3 linked regions of the Pelodiscus sinensis genome follow. The protein of the gene in region 2 interacts with the protein of the main gene of each other region in a pairwise test. Links are inferred from orthologs where the notes say so. Each region holds a gene or a part of one and is shown on either strand. Other genes may lie near its edges. The genes, in order: MALL, LDLRAD1 and BNIP3.

Evidence for each region.
Region 1: the proteins of LDLRAD1 (region 2) and MALL interact in binary tests that used the Homo sapiens proteins (3 or more experiments, as listed by UniProt). The two-hybrid records come from large-scale screens. The link is inferred for Pelodiscus sinensis from reciprocal best matches to the Homo sapiens genes LDLRAD1 and MALL.
Region 3: the proteins of LDLRAD1 (region 2) and BNIP3 interact in binary tests that used the Homo sapiens proteins (3 or more experiments, as listed by UniProt). The two-hybrid records come from large-scale screens. The link is inferred for Pelodiscus sinensis from reciprocal best matches to the Homo sapiens genes LDLRAD1 and BNIP3.

What each region holds. Positions count from the first base shown.
Region 1 is NC_134713.1:196,682,416-196,686,168, forward strand, and holds the start of MALL (MAL-like protein), read right to left. Parts: upstream 2,793-3,753; 5' UTR 2,727-2,792; coding exon 2,619-2,726; intron 1-2,618.
Region 2 is NC_134719.1:11,284,451-11,288,203, forward strand, and holds the start of LDLRAD1 (low-density lipoprotein receptor class A domain-containing protein 1), read right to left. Parts: upstream 2,311-3,753; 5' UTR 1-2,310.
Region 3 is NC_134718.1:47,399,350-47,403,102, reverse strand, and holds the start of BNIP3 (BCL2/adenovirus E1B 19 kDa protein-interacting protein 3), read right to left. Parts: upstream 2,871-3,753; 5' UTR 2,554-2,870; coding exon 2,508-2,553; intron 1-2,507. UniProt on the Homo sapiens protein: Apoptosis-inducing protein that can overcome BCL2 suppression. May play a role in repartitioning calcium between the two major intracellular calcium stores in association with BCL2.

The sequences.
Region 1 (3,753 bases), on a different chromosome or scaffold from region 2:
CAAATCTGTCCTCCTGCTTTCCTCGGGGAATCACGCTAATTCCAAACTAGTGATTTCGAAATAGCGATCGTGTGGACGCTCCAGTGCTGCTATTTCAAAAGAACGGCTCCCCAGAGTCATTCGAACTAATGACTCCCCAACGTTTCCAGGGGCTCCAAGTCGAGGGAGCCCGTCCATATTCACATTCTGCCTCTGTCTCATTTTGAGGGTTCCCTGTAGTGAGGACACGCTAGCTTGATTTTCTTATTTCAGGAGTTACTAAATCAATGTAAATTATTTCAGAATAGTTTCTTAGTGTACACATATCCTAAGTGACACTTGATCTATACGGGTGTGTCTAAACTACATGGCTCCGTCGACGGAGCCATGTAGATTAGGCTGATAAGCAGAGGGAAATGAAGCCGCAATTTAAATAATCACAGCTTCATTTAAATTTAAATGGCTGCTGCGCTGAGCCGACAAACAGCTGATCAGTTGTTTGTCTGCTCAACGCGCTAGTCTGGACGCTCCCGCGCAGACCTGAAAGCCCTTTATCGACCTCCCCGTTATGCCTCGTAGGATGAGGTTTACCGGGGAGGTCGAAAAAGGGCTTTCATGTCAACAGGGGAGCATCCAGACTGCCCCGATCTGACGACAAACAGCTGATGGGCAGAGCGGGGCAGCCATTTAAATTTAAATGAAGCCGCGATTATTTAAATTGCGGCTTCATTTCCCTTTGTCGAACAAACAAATCTACATGGCTCCGTTGACGGAGCCATGTAGTTTAGATGTACCCTAGCAGTGAGAGTGGAGTGGACTATCAAGCCTTATACATTGTGCCAATGCGCAGTAAGAATGTATGATGGGTTGGGACTTTCGCATCTCTCTTCCTGCGAATACCTCCTAAATCTATCACGAGACATTTAAAAACTACACAGATGACAGCTATTGCGTCTTGTCTAGAGATACTTTCTTCTTATCTCTCTGCAAGAGGATCCAATCAAGGGGTAAATCTTAGATAGTCACTTCCACTCCCACCAGTATACAAGTGCTGGTAGATTTTTGGGCAACTCAAGTCCATAACAATAATGATAAAAGTGGCCAGAGTCTCTAGCTTGTATGAAAGATGCACAAACCTGCCTGGGTTGAGACTGAGCAGCAGCCAAGTAGCTAACGTGAAAGCGAGCGCTTGCTGCAAGGAAAGGCCTTGCATGATTTTCATCAAAGATATGCAGGGTTAGGCATCGCCTGCAGCTCTTTGCAGCATGTTATTATAACCTCGATTTAATAATTAACAAAGTCATTAAACCATCAGGATGCTTTAACTAGGCCATAACCAATGGCGGTGGATAAAACAGTAATACACACACACACACACACACACACACACACACACACACACACACACACACACACACAATATATAAAACAGTAATACACACACACACACACACACACACACACACAATATTTCCCCGTCACACTGTTTAAATAAGAATAGGACTCAGGGCTGGTGACAGACTTTGCAGGGCCTTGAGCAATGTGTGTGAGGGGCCACTGCTCTAGAAGGGGCGGGGCCTCAGGCAGAAGGGGCAGGGCCTCAGGCAGAAGGGGCGGGGCTAGAGGCAGCCAGCTCTCAATGCTGCCCAAACAGTGTCATACCTCCTCCGGGCAGCCCACAACGCCATTCAGACCACACCATGCAGCTCAGGGGGCAATTTAAAGGGGCCAGGTCTCCGTCCTCTGCCGTAGCTGTGGTGGCAGCAGCCCAGAACACCAGGCCCTTTTAAATCAACAGGCCCCCAAGCGACTGTCCCTTTGTCCCCCCATTGGTGGCCCTGATAGTACGATAGTAAATGAAACAATGAATTCACACAGCTGTGGCTCCTCCGGGTAATGCTGATGGCTAATTTGGCTCCTGAACCACTGAGATCTGTGTGTCACTGATTGGTCACATGCTGTATCAATGTGGTGTTCATGACACCACAATTAAACACTCATTGTCAGCATCAAGCCAACAATAAAGTCTTAAAATGCTGACATTTCTAATGGAAACGTCAGCTTATCTTTTCCTATAGCTGTCTGAATAGGCAGCAGCAATTACCAAATACACCCAATCAACGTATTTTATGGACGTAATGATTACGAACAGACCTAGATGGCTGTATTGTATATCAAAGTACAACATCGATTGCCATAATCTTATTAGACCTTCTGCGACGCACATCCAGGACTCTGGACAAAGGAACATTAAGAAAACCTGCCATTGCTGGCATATGATAATACAACCTTTGACCCCCCCCCAGAAAACTGCAAGAGGGCAGAGAAAAAACAGCCCTGAAGAAGCAAGTGACAGACACGCCTCTAACTTCCAAGATCTGACTTAATAAAACATAAAACTGCCACCCCATGCTCGGATGAGAAGCACTATTTTGGGTGACTCCAGCCCCGAGGAAGATGCCAGACCTAACGATTTTAAGATAAGTAGCAGCGGAAGTAAACTTTTCCCCATATCGCTTTCTTCTTACCCCAGTTGCTTTCGGTGCTGGCTCTGGATTCCCGCCTCCTCCCTGCCGTTGACATAGTCGTTAAGTTTTTGCCATCGCAAGCGAGCAAATCAAACCATGCCGTGTACTTACTAGCTCTGGTACGATAAAAGCATATGGCACCGTTCTCAGGACTTTTAGTCCAGATGGTATGTCCGCTTCTATGTTGGTAACAGGTGCGGGGAGATCTTTTGATGCCATCTCCTCTCTGCTCAGCTCCAAGTCCTGCTCCGCTATCCTCGGTTATCAGTGCAATGCACAGCTTAAAAGTACTAGCCAGAGACACACCTGCCTGGAGGTAATCAGTAAAACCAGTTCCAGCCTGGCAGGTCAGACCGCTCCTTGCGGCCAAAAGAATCCTCAGCTGCTCGAGCTAATTAAGCACATTCCTTGGACAGTGAATAAGCCGGTGGATGACAACGTGCGGATGACTGGTGAGATTTTTATCACTCTGATTTGTGGCTCCGTTTCCTATGACACTTTGCGCAGCTACCTGGCTGGGAGGCCTCATGCAGCTGTTGCCAGAATGGACGTGGGTCCCTTCTCTGTCCGGGCCGTGAAAGAACAGGCTGACCCCAACCCAGCTCAACAGAGAAGCCAGGAAGAGATCCCAGTGACTGACGCCGCTACACCGAATGGCAGGAGACCCGGGCAGAGGGGACGCGTGCAGTGAGCTGGAGCAGTGACCGGGAATGTGTTAGGTGCTGGGGTCCCTTTGCTGGGACTCCGGAGTGACAAAAGGGGCAAGAGGAGTCGGAGAGGGAGACCAACGCAGGGCTGGCTCCTCACGGCGCTGGCTGGACCAGCATGGACTCCGGAAGAATTTCTGCCTCTCTTTGCTAAGCCAAGGACTTTCAGATTCCGTAGCCGGGTGATTAACACACGGTGACCTTGTTTTGAAAAGGCTGCCTACCCCACTTGTGTCCTGTTAGTTCCTAGTCCCTGGCTCTTTGCCCAGCTCTTGATCTGATCTGAGTCTCCTCTCCACTAGCTCCTAGGCCATCCCCAATTTCTCAGTCCCCGTCTCCCCCCACGCAAATCCCAGCCCTTGAGTCCTGCCACTCCCCGGCCAGCCTCCAGTCCTGGTGCCACCCCACCACAGTCTCTGCTCCACCCAGGACTGGCTCTTTTCCCCTCGGCGGTCCAAACAAGCACCCTCCTCCTCCACACAGCCTGGGCCCGGCTCGGGGAGCACCGGGACCAGGAGAGAGAGGCGCCTGGCAATCCG
Region 2 (3,753 bases):
AAGAGGGGATAACAGCAGCTCAGAGGATAGATCAGAGCTTTTCCTAGCAATGCAGGTATATTGTGTGAATCCTAGGTAAAACAGTGAGCATACACCACCACCTAAGAACAGCACAGTGCACTGCTGCAATTCAACTGTCCCATATACTATTTCACTAGCAAATGAGCAGAACAGAGCTTACTGAGCACAGCAGCCTCTGGCAGAAGCAGAATTAACTTTCCAGACATGCTGCAATGCCAGTCACCTTCCTGGAAATCAGACAGGTGAAAGGACAAGGAGACAGCTAGATAGCGAGCTAGCCTTACAACTGTGATTTAGAGATGGGCATATACACAGCTATTTCAATGGGAAAGTTAAATGAAGTTGATTTGTTATAGCAACCAGGGCATAGGCTGGTTTTCTGAAGCACAGTGAAATAACTAAAGGAACCATCCTCACAGACACTAAAGCAGAATCAGTTGCTGGGCCTCTATTTCTGGAGAGATTAGGAGTGAAAAGGAAACATTTCAAACTAGGGCAGGGGACTGGACTTGATATCTCAAGGTCCCTTCCAGCTCTAGTATTCTACCATGTATCAGTTTCCACATAACAGGCAAAGGGTAGCCCAAGGTGACTTAGTTAAGTTGGAATTTTCAGCCCATCACACATCTTAAATCAGCCTTTGTCTAAGACTGACAATCCTCTAATAAGCAGATGGTATGAGTTTTGCCCACAAAAGCTCATGATACCACCTACATGTTTTGTTAGTCTTTAAGATGCTACTAGACTATTCATTGTTTTAAGTCTTTTTAGTTACAGACTCAGCTACCCCTCTGAATCCTTTAATAGTTTAAGATTCCCCTCCTCCCGTTTCAATAGCATGATACTGTTCAAGTGTAACAGACTAGTTCCTGCCTCTGCAAGATTCCAAGTTTAGATGACTGCCTAGCACAACATATTCTGGGGGTGTGGGAAGCACTGAACACAAAACATACCAGTGCCCTAGAAGTTTGTTAAAAATGCTCCGTTCAAATGGCCCAAAAAAACAAAACAAAACAAAAAAAAGATCCAGCAGCTTAAGGAACTCTAATATCCTCTGTTAGGGCTGCTGTTTAAGAAGACTACTGGGTTGAAAAAAAATATAAAGTTACAACTGGTTTGGCAGATGTTAAAATATTCCAAGTTTAGACCAAAAAATAGCAGGTTAAGTTGATGTCCTAGGAATTTCAATTGGATGTTCTGGTGACAGGGATGTTGAGTATAATTGCCTTTGATCACTGCATCTGCAGTATTTACAGCTGGTATTGAGGAAAGTAAGACCATGAGAATGTGCCTCTACAAATAGGTGCCTCCCACTTGGCTCTTTTAAAAAGAGTTAAAATGGGATTTTACTTAAATTCTTACATCACACGTGACAGCACAGCACATACCCACGAATGCTAGTGATTCAACATCCTTTTTCAGGGATCATTCTGAATAATTGGAATGATCCTTACTCCAGCATGATCCCCCTCAGGAGCCACATAGAGCTAACTAATCCTTGTAAATCCATATTCTGATGCTAAGCCTGAGAACCAGCCAGGACATTTCATCTTTGTCTATCATTAAGAAATCAGAGACCAGCAAACACTTTGCTCTAGAGTAGAAGGTAAGAACCAAGATGAGAGATGAAGTGTTAAGACAACTACAGCTCAATCAGAAACTGCCTTTGCCCCTCAGTTTCTGTATCTGTGAAGTAAAGTTTGTGAGCTTTGTAAGGGGAGATGCAAGCATGTGAACTTCCACCACTGCCAGTTAGTAGGAATTACCAGAGTCCTAGGTATCTATGGTGCAGTGGCCATAGCTTAGTTATTTTACTACTAGTTTTTTGTAACTGAAATCATGTATAGCTGATTTAGCCACCGATACAGCAGGGTTCTTGTTTCTATGCTTAGGAATCCGAGTTCTCAAAGTAAGAGGAGAGATGCACAATTATATGGGTGGGGGAAGAGGAGGAAGTATTTGGTCCCTCATCTACAATTGCTTGGGCAATTTAATTTTCCATCTTTGAGAAGAGCCCAAAACCCAGTTACTGTATACAGTACTTCAAGAGTCTGAGTATTTGAAAATAAGTTGAATAGAAATTGTTTTGCCATCTTAACTAGCATATAGGATCTAGGTTTGCTCCCATAGTAGTTAAACAATATCTTAGTGCCAAGATGAGTGAATCGGTCTAATTCCAGCAGTTCTTACTGTAGTAACAACTAATTATCAGAATCAAATGTGGTAATGGGAAAAACCTGGATACAAAAGATGTACAATAGCGTAGAAGTCAGGTCCTTTAAGCTATATAAATTTGTTTATAGAAATTAATACCTCAAGAATCTCATTGCAGGAATGCAGGTCCCCCTCCACCTCCCGCCGATACTGCTTATAGGAGTTACTGAGTCCTAGACTTTATTCCTAGTATAGTAACGTTTCAAGTAACAATGCCCAAGATTTGAACCTTTGTTTATTCTTTTCCTTCCTTTCATTTCTGGTTTCCAGAAGTTTAAGTAGATATTACAGCTCAATATTAAAAAACTAGAAACTGTTAATTAACCCAATTATTTAAAAATTTAAACATTTGAAAACAGCCACCTTTAGAAAAACGAAATGAGAAGAACAGTTTTACATGCATGAGTTAAAATTGAAGTCATTGACAATTAGAGCTATACATTGTACTGAAACAGGCAACTGGACAATTATACTTTCAGTGAAGCGATAAACATTTACACATCATAGGGGAAAAAACAGATTCAAAGAACATTTACAATGCCGGTTATAAAGATTTGGGATAACTAAAGTGTTATTGAAACTGTCCTGCAGACAAAGGTAGTGCAAAGAATACCAGCAATGGCCACTGGTATGAAGTCTGTATTTGCATCTTAAGCTATCATTGCTCAAGGTGCATTGAATATTAGTACATCAGCATTCTGCATTTAACAAGGCTGTGTACTTAAGTACATGACTGCATAGAAATGAGTCTTGGGACAATTGCTACTACAATACAGAAAAAAAGCTAATTTTTAAAGCACTACACAAACAACTTTCACATTGAGATCCTTGCAAAAACCTAAATATTTAGAGATGTTAAGAAGAGCATTGCACTCCAACTTTCATAGTTAAGTCAGATCCTCTTTCAATGCCACATCAACCAAAAGTTACATAGTAATTGGGCAAACATTCAATGTTTGTATTTTAACACAGTAGACACCCCTCAACTTATACCTTAATGACAAAAAAATGTAAGGTGCACATGATTTTAAAGAACAGATTTATAGCAGCTCTGTGTATGCTTAACACACAATTGCAAGCACCACAGTGTATGTGGTACGCACTTCAAGTATGGACCCATAATGCATAAGCTATATAGTCCTCAAAATTTGCCCATTCGGCAACCATCTTCGCCTCCCACTCAACCAAAACTTTAATTAAAACCAGAACAGCAAGTTATGTAATGAGTTACTCTGGAACGTCTCAAATACAATTTTTGCTAGTGTACAAAAAGCTATGCAAAAACCAGTATCTATTGCTTACTTCTAACCTGAATGTAGATATAATCAGACATTTTAAAAAAAGCGCTAATAACTCTGGCCAAAATAAGATATTTAGGCCAGTTTCTAAATTTTTGCAAAGGGGTTTTAAGGAAAACCATCACAGCGCCTTCTTCAAGATATCTAGCAGGCACAAGATTATAGCTGCTATAGGAAAGAACAAACCTGTGTTGAACAGGTTAGCTAGAATAATCATCTC
Region 3 (3,753 bases), on a different chromosome or scaffold from region 2:
TCTAACATTGTTCTCTCATGATGCAAGAGATCTGGACCTAATCTGTATGTGCTGTACAGGCAAAACTTTGGATAATGGCCAGTGCTGATAAGTGTTAAAATTATCAAAGTTCCAGCTCTCATCGATTTCCTATTTATACAATTCCACAGCCATTCAAAACTGCTTCACATGTCAACTAAACACAGTCCCTGATTATGACTTTGTATATTGGATCTTTTAGTGATTGGTGTTATAGATAGATTACTGTAAGTGAGCTCTTGCAATAGTGATTAGATACTGAAGGCTGATGTTTAATAAAAAAACAGGAACATAAACAGATATGTAGGTAGGAGAGGTTGAGAGCTGGAAGGCAACCTGAGTGGAATGAGTTATGGGTAGGCACTTGAAGGGAAAAAAAATAAGACTGACTGGTGCACTGGACTAGGCAATATTACACAAAAATAAAGGCTAGCATGAGACAAGCCAAAGATGGAATAATTAGTGGGATATTATTGGATCTGTGAATATCTTTAGTGCAATACTTCCAATGTTAGTCACTGCCACAGAACATTTGCATAAAATTCTGATGTCTGAAATGACAAATTGCTCTGAGAGCAGACAAAATTCAGTGTGCACAGAATGCCAGTCCCTCTCTCTCTCTTATCTCAAATATCAGTGAAGTCCCCATTTAAAACAACTGTCCTTCACATGCTTTGACGGTTGTCTTATTCCTCAGCTCCTCAACAAACTCCTTTGCACTTCCAACATTCCAAATACAAGGAGCATGTGCAATTACACTAGATCACATCTGAATGCATAACCTCTTACCTCTGACTTAGTACTTTTTGTCTCGCAAATAACACATTCTGTTCTTTACGAGAGTGCACGTCTCTTGAAACTCTATCCTAATCTAGCTCTCTCTTGTTGGTGTGCGGCTGTGTGATTTAGATTTCAGTGCTTTTTTAAATGTGTTCCATTCCTATTCAGAATTATGTTCACTTTTTGGTCACCAAGACATTGAGCCAGCCTTGACTTCCCTGATAGAGAAGCAGCTGTCTGTCTCTCTTCATGAGCCTTGAGAATCTCCTACCAGAAATACTATAAAATTAAAATACATAAAATTGAACCTTACTTCCAAAGGAAACTGTATATTTATATCCCAAATGTAATCATGAGCTTATCATGCAAACTTGTCTTAATGTTCCAGTCCAAATGTGGTGCGCACACAAATATTTATGTATAATGTTTACCATTATTACCTTTCCAACCACCAGGTGAGGAAAAGACATATCAGGCTAAGTCCCTTTATGATATGTGTGTCTTATCTGTACATATCAGTGATAGAGAAATAAGACCATCTGAATCTTTTTTTTTTAAATCTTCCAGGGCTGAGAGAGTTATGAAACACCATCTTGTGGTTTTGCTACGTGCAAAACTTCTAACCCTTAAAATGACAAGGTAAAATAACTGGCATTATATATAGTTTAGGCAATTAAATAACCACACCTCTCTGTCTTTCACATTGACACACAGTGAAATCATAGAGAAGATTTGGGAATGTAAGCTAGACTTTTTGATCTTTATTTTCAAATCTGCAAAGTATGCAGGAAATACCTGCATTCCCCAATTTGAGGTGAATAAGGGAGAATTCATAAAATATCTTCTGCAAACTGATTTCAATATTTTTAAGTATGGCAAATATAAGCCCTGATTTCATTTTTTGTCACCCATGGTAAAACACGCTTATTTATTAAAATCCTATCTCTCATTCTTCCATTCCTCTGTTGTGAAAGAAAAATATATTCAGCCAAAGGATTATGGTTTGCTGGGGGGATATGTCAAACTAGAATAGGTAAATCTGAACATAAAAAGATGTTTATTATTTATTTCCAACAACAAAAAATAGGGTGCTTCCAAAACGACCCAAATCCATCACATCTGTCCCATGGAGTTTCAGGTCTAAGGAACATCAATTATATCAGGGAGCTGGCAAGAAGGTGCTTTTCTTTCTTAATCCCACAGCTAGCCATCCATGAAACCGTAAGTGTACCTGCCATGTTTGTGATAACTGGATTGCTGCTAATGGCAACCTCACTGCATGGGGGTGGGGAAAGGCGGCGCGTGTAACGAGATACCTCATTGACTGTGATTTCTAAATTGCTCACATTAACCCTAGCTCCAGACAAGGTACAATAAAGCCCGTACGCAATCCCACACTACTTGGATTCAACGACAGTCCTGGCGCATGAAGGACCGATCACCATCCATTTACCAGCGCTGGCAGGGGCAGTCTACCCCCTGCTTGTCAAGTGTCGTGTTTACTGCAGGGTTATTTATTGCGCCTAACAGCAGATCTTGTCTTGCGAAGGCGTCACGGGCTATCAACAAAGGGAACCGGAGTCCCAAACAGCTCCCATTCCGGACAGCCAGTGGTGAGGTCCCCGCAGGCTGATGGAATGGGGGTGGGGCGCTTCCCTTAGGGGGCCTGCACTAGGGGCCTAACCCTGGCTAGTAAGGGGGGCTCTTACCGTGCAAATTCTCCTCCGGCTGGCTGAGTCCCTCGCCCTGCGACATTGTCTCCGGCTTCTTCGGGGCAGGCGCTGCTATTTTCAGCCTGCGCTTCTCGCGTCCCGACGCGGCTGGCGGGGGCCGCTGCTGCTGCAGCTGCTGACTGCGGCCAAGTACGCAGGGCGGGCGGATCAGTGGCCAGCAGCTGACAGGCTCTGTTATTGTTATTGCTACTGCAGGTTCTGGGGCTTGCTGGGGAGTATGACGTCTCGAGGGAACGGGCCACCCTGATTGGCTGTCATCACATTCCTCCCCTTTTGCTCCTGTAGCGCTTGCGGGTGCACGGGCTGCCCGCGACCTGCTGGGAACAAGCTCAAAGCCTGGATGTCTCCGAGCGGCTACTGCCCTCTGGGGCCTAGTGGCGCCTCTTCTTTCATTGCAACATGGGGCAAGGCTGTTACTAAGCTGTTACGGAGCACCCGGCTTTTGCACATTGGCTTTTAACGCTTCCCCGGCCCCCCACCAGCTGGCCCTGATCAGGAAGCGCCAAAGTCAGAACTCACTCCTGATTGGCTAAAAAGATATCAAGCCATGGCTAGTTTGCATTGGACACTAAGTTGGCCTCATTTCAGATTGGGTGGGAAATGAGGGACAAAATGTTCAGTTCCCACGTTCACTAATGTGCATTGATTTCTACGCCGAGGCTCATGACATCATTTTCCAGCACTGTCAGGATCACGTATTCATTCCTTCACTTGCTGTGCAACTTGTTACTGACCGGTGTGGCTAGAAGTGTTTCCCTACTGTTTACTAATTGTAGTGGCTTTTAGACACCGTCTGTAAGCCTTGTATTACATCCAAAACGTGGATCAGTCTAGCTACCTCGGTTGTGAAAAATATACCAACCTAACCCACGTTTTATACAATGTTAGTCAATAGAAAAATTATTTTGACAGTCCAGCTATTTCCTCTCACGGAGGTTGGTTTACTATAGCAATGGGGGTTGGGGTGGGGAGGGAGGAGGACTCTTGGTTGCTGCAAGAATTATCTTTGCTACAACCAGACATTTCTGACCAGGAGGGCCACAGTCAAATATCAGTTTGTGGTAAATTGCTTTTGAGCCATCTTTGCTAAATACTATTCTACATATAATTTTTAAACTTTCTCTTTCAACATTTTCTTGGTGGTAAAAGGGGTTCGTATAAGTAGATCCAACACTCTGTAAGCACACATTTCAATGTCATAAGAATTTTGCCACTGCATAGC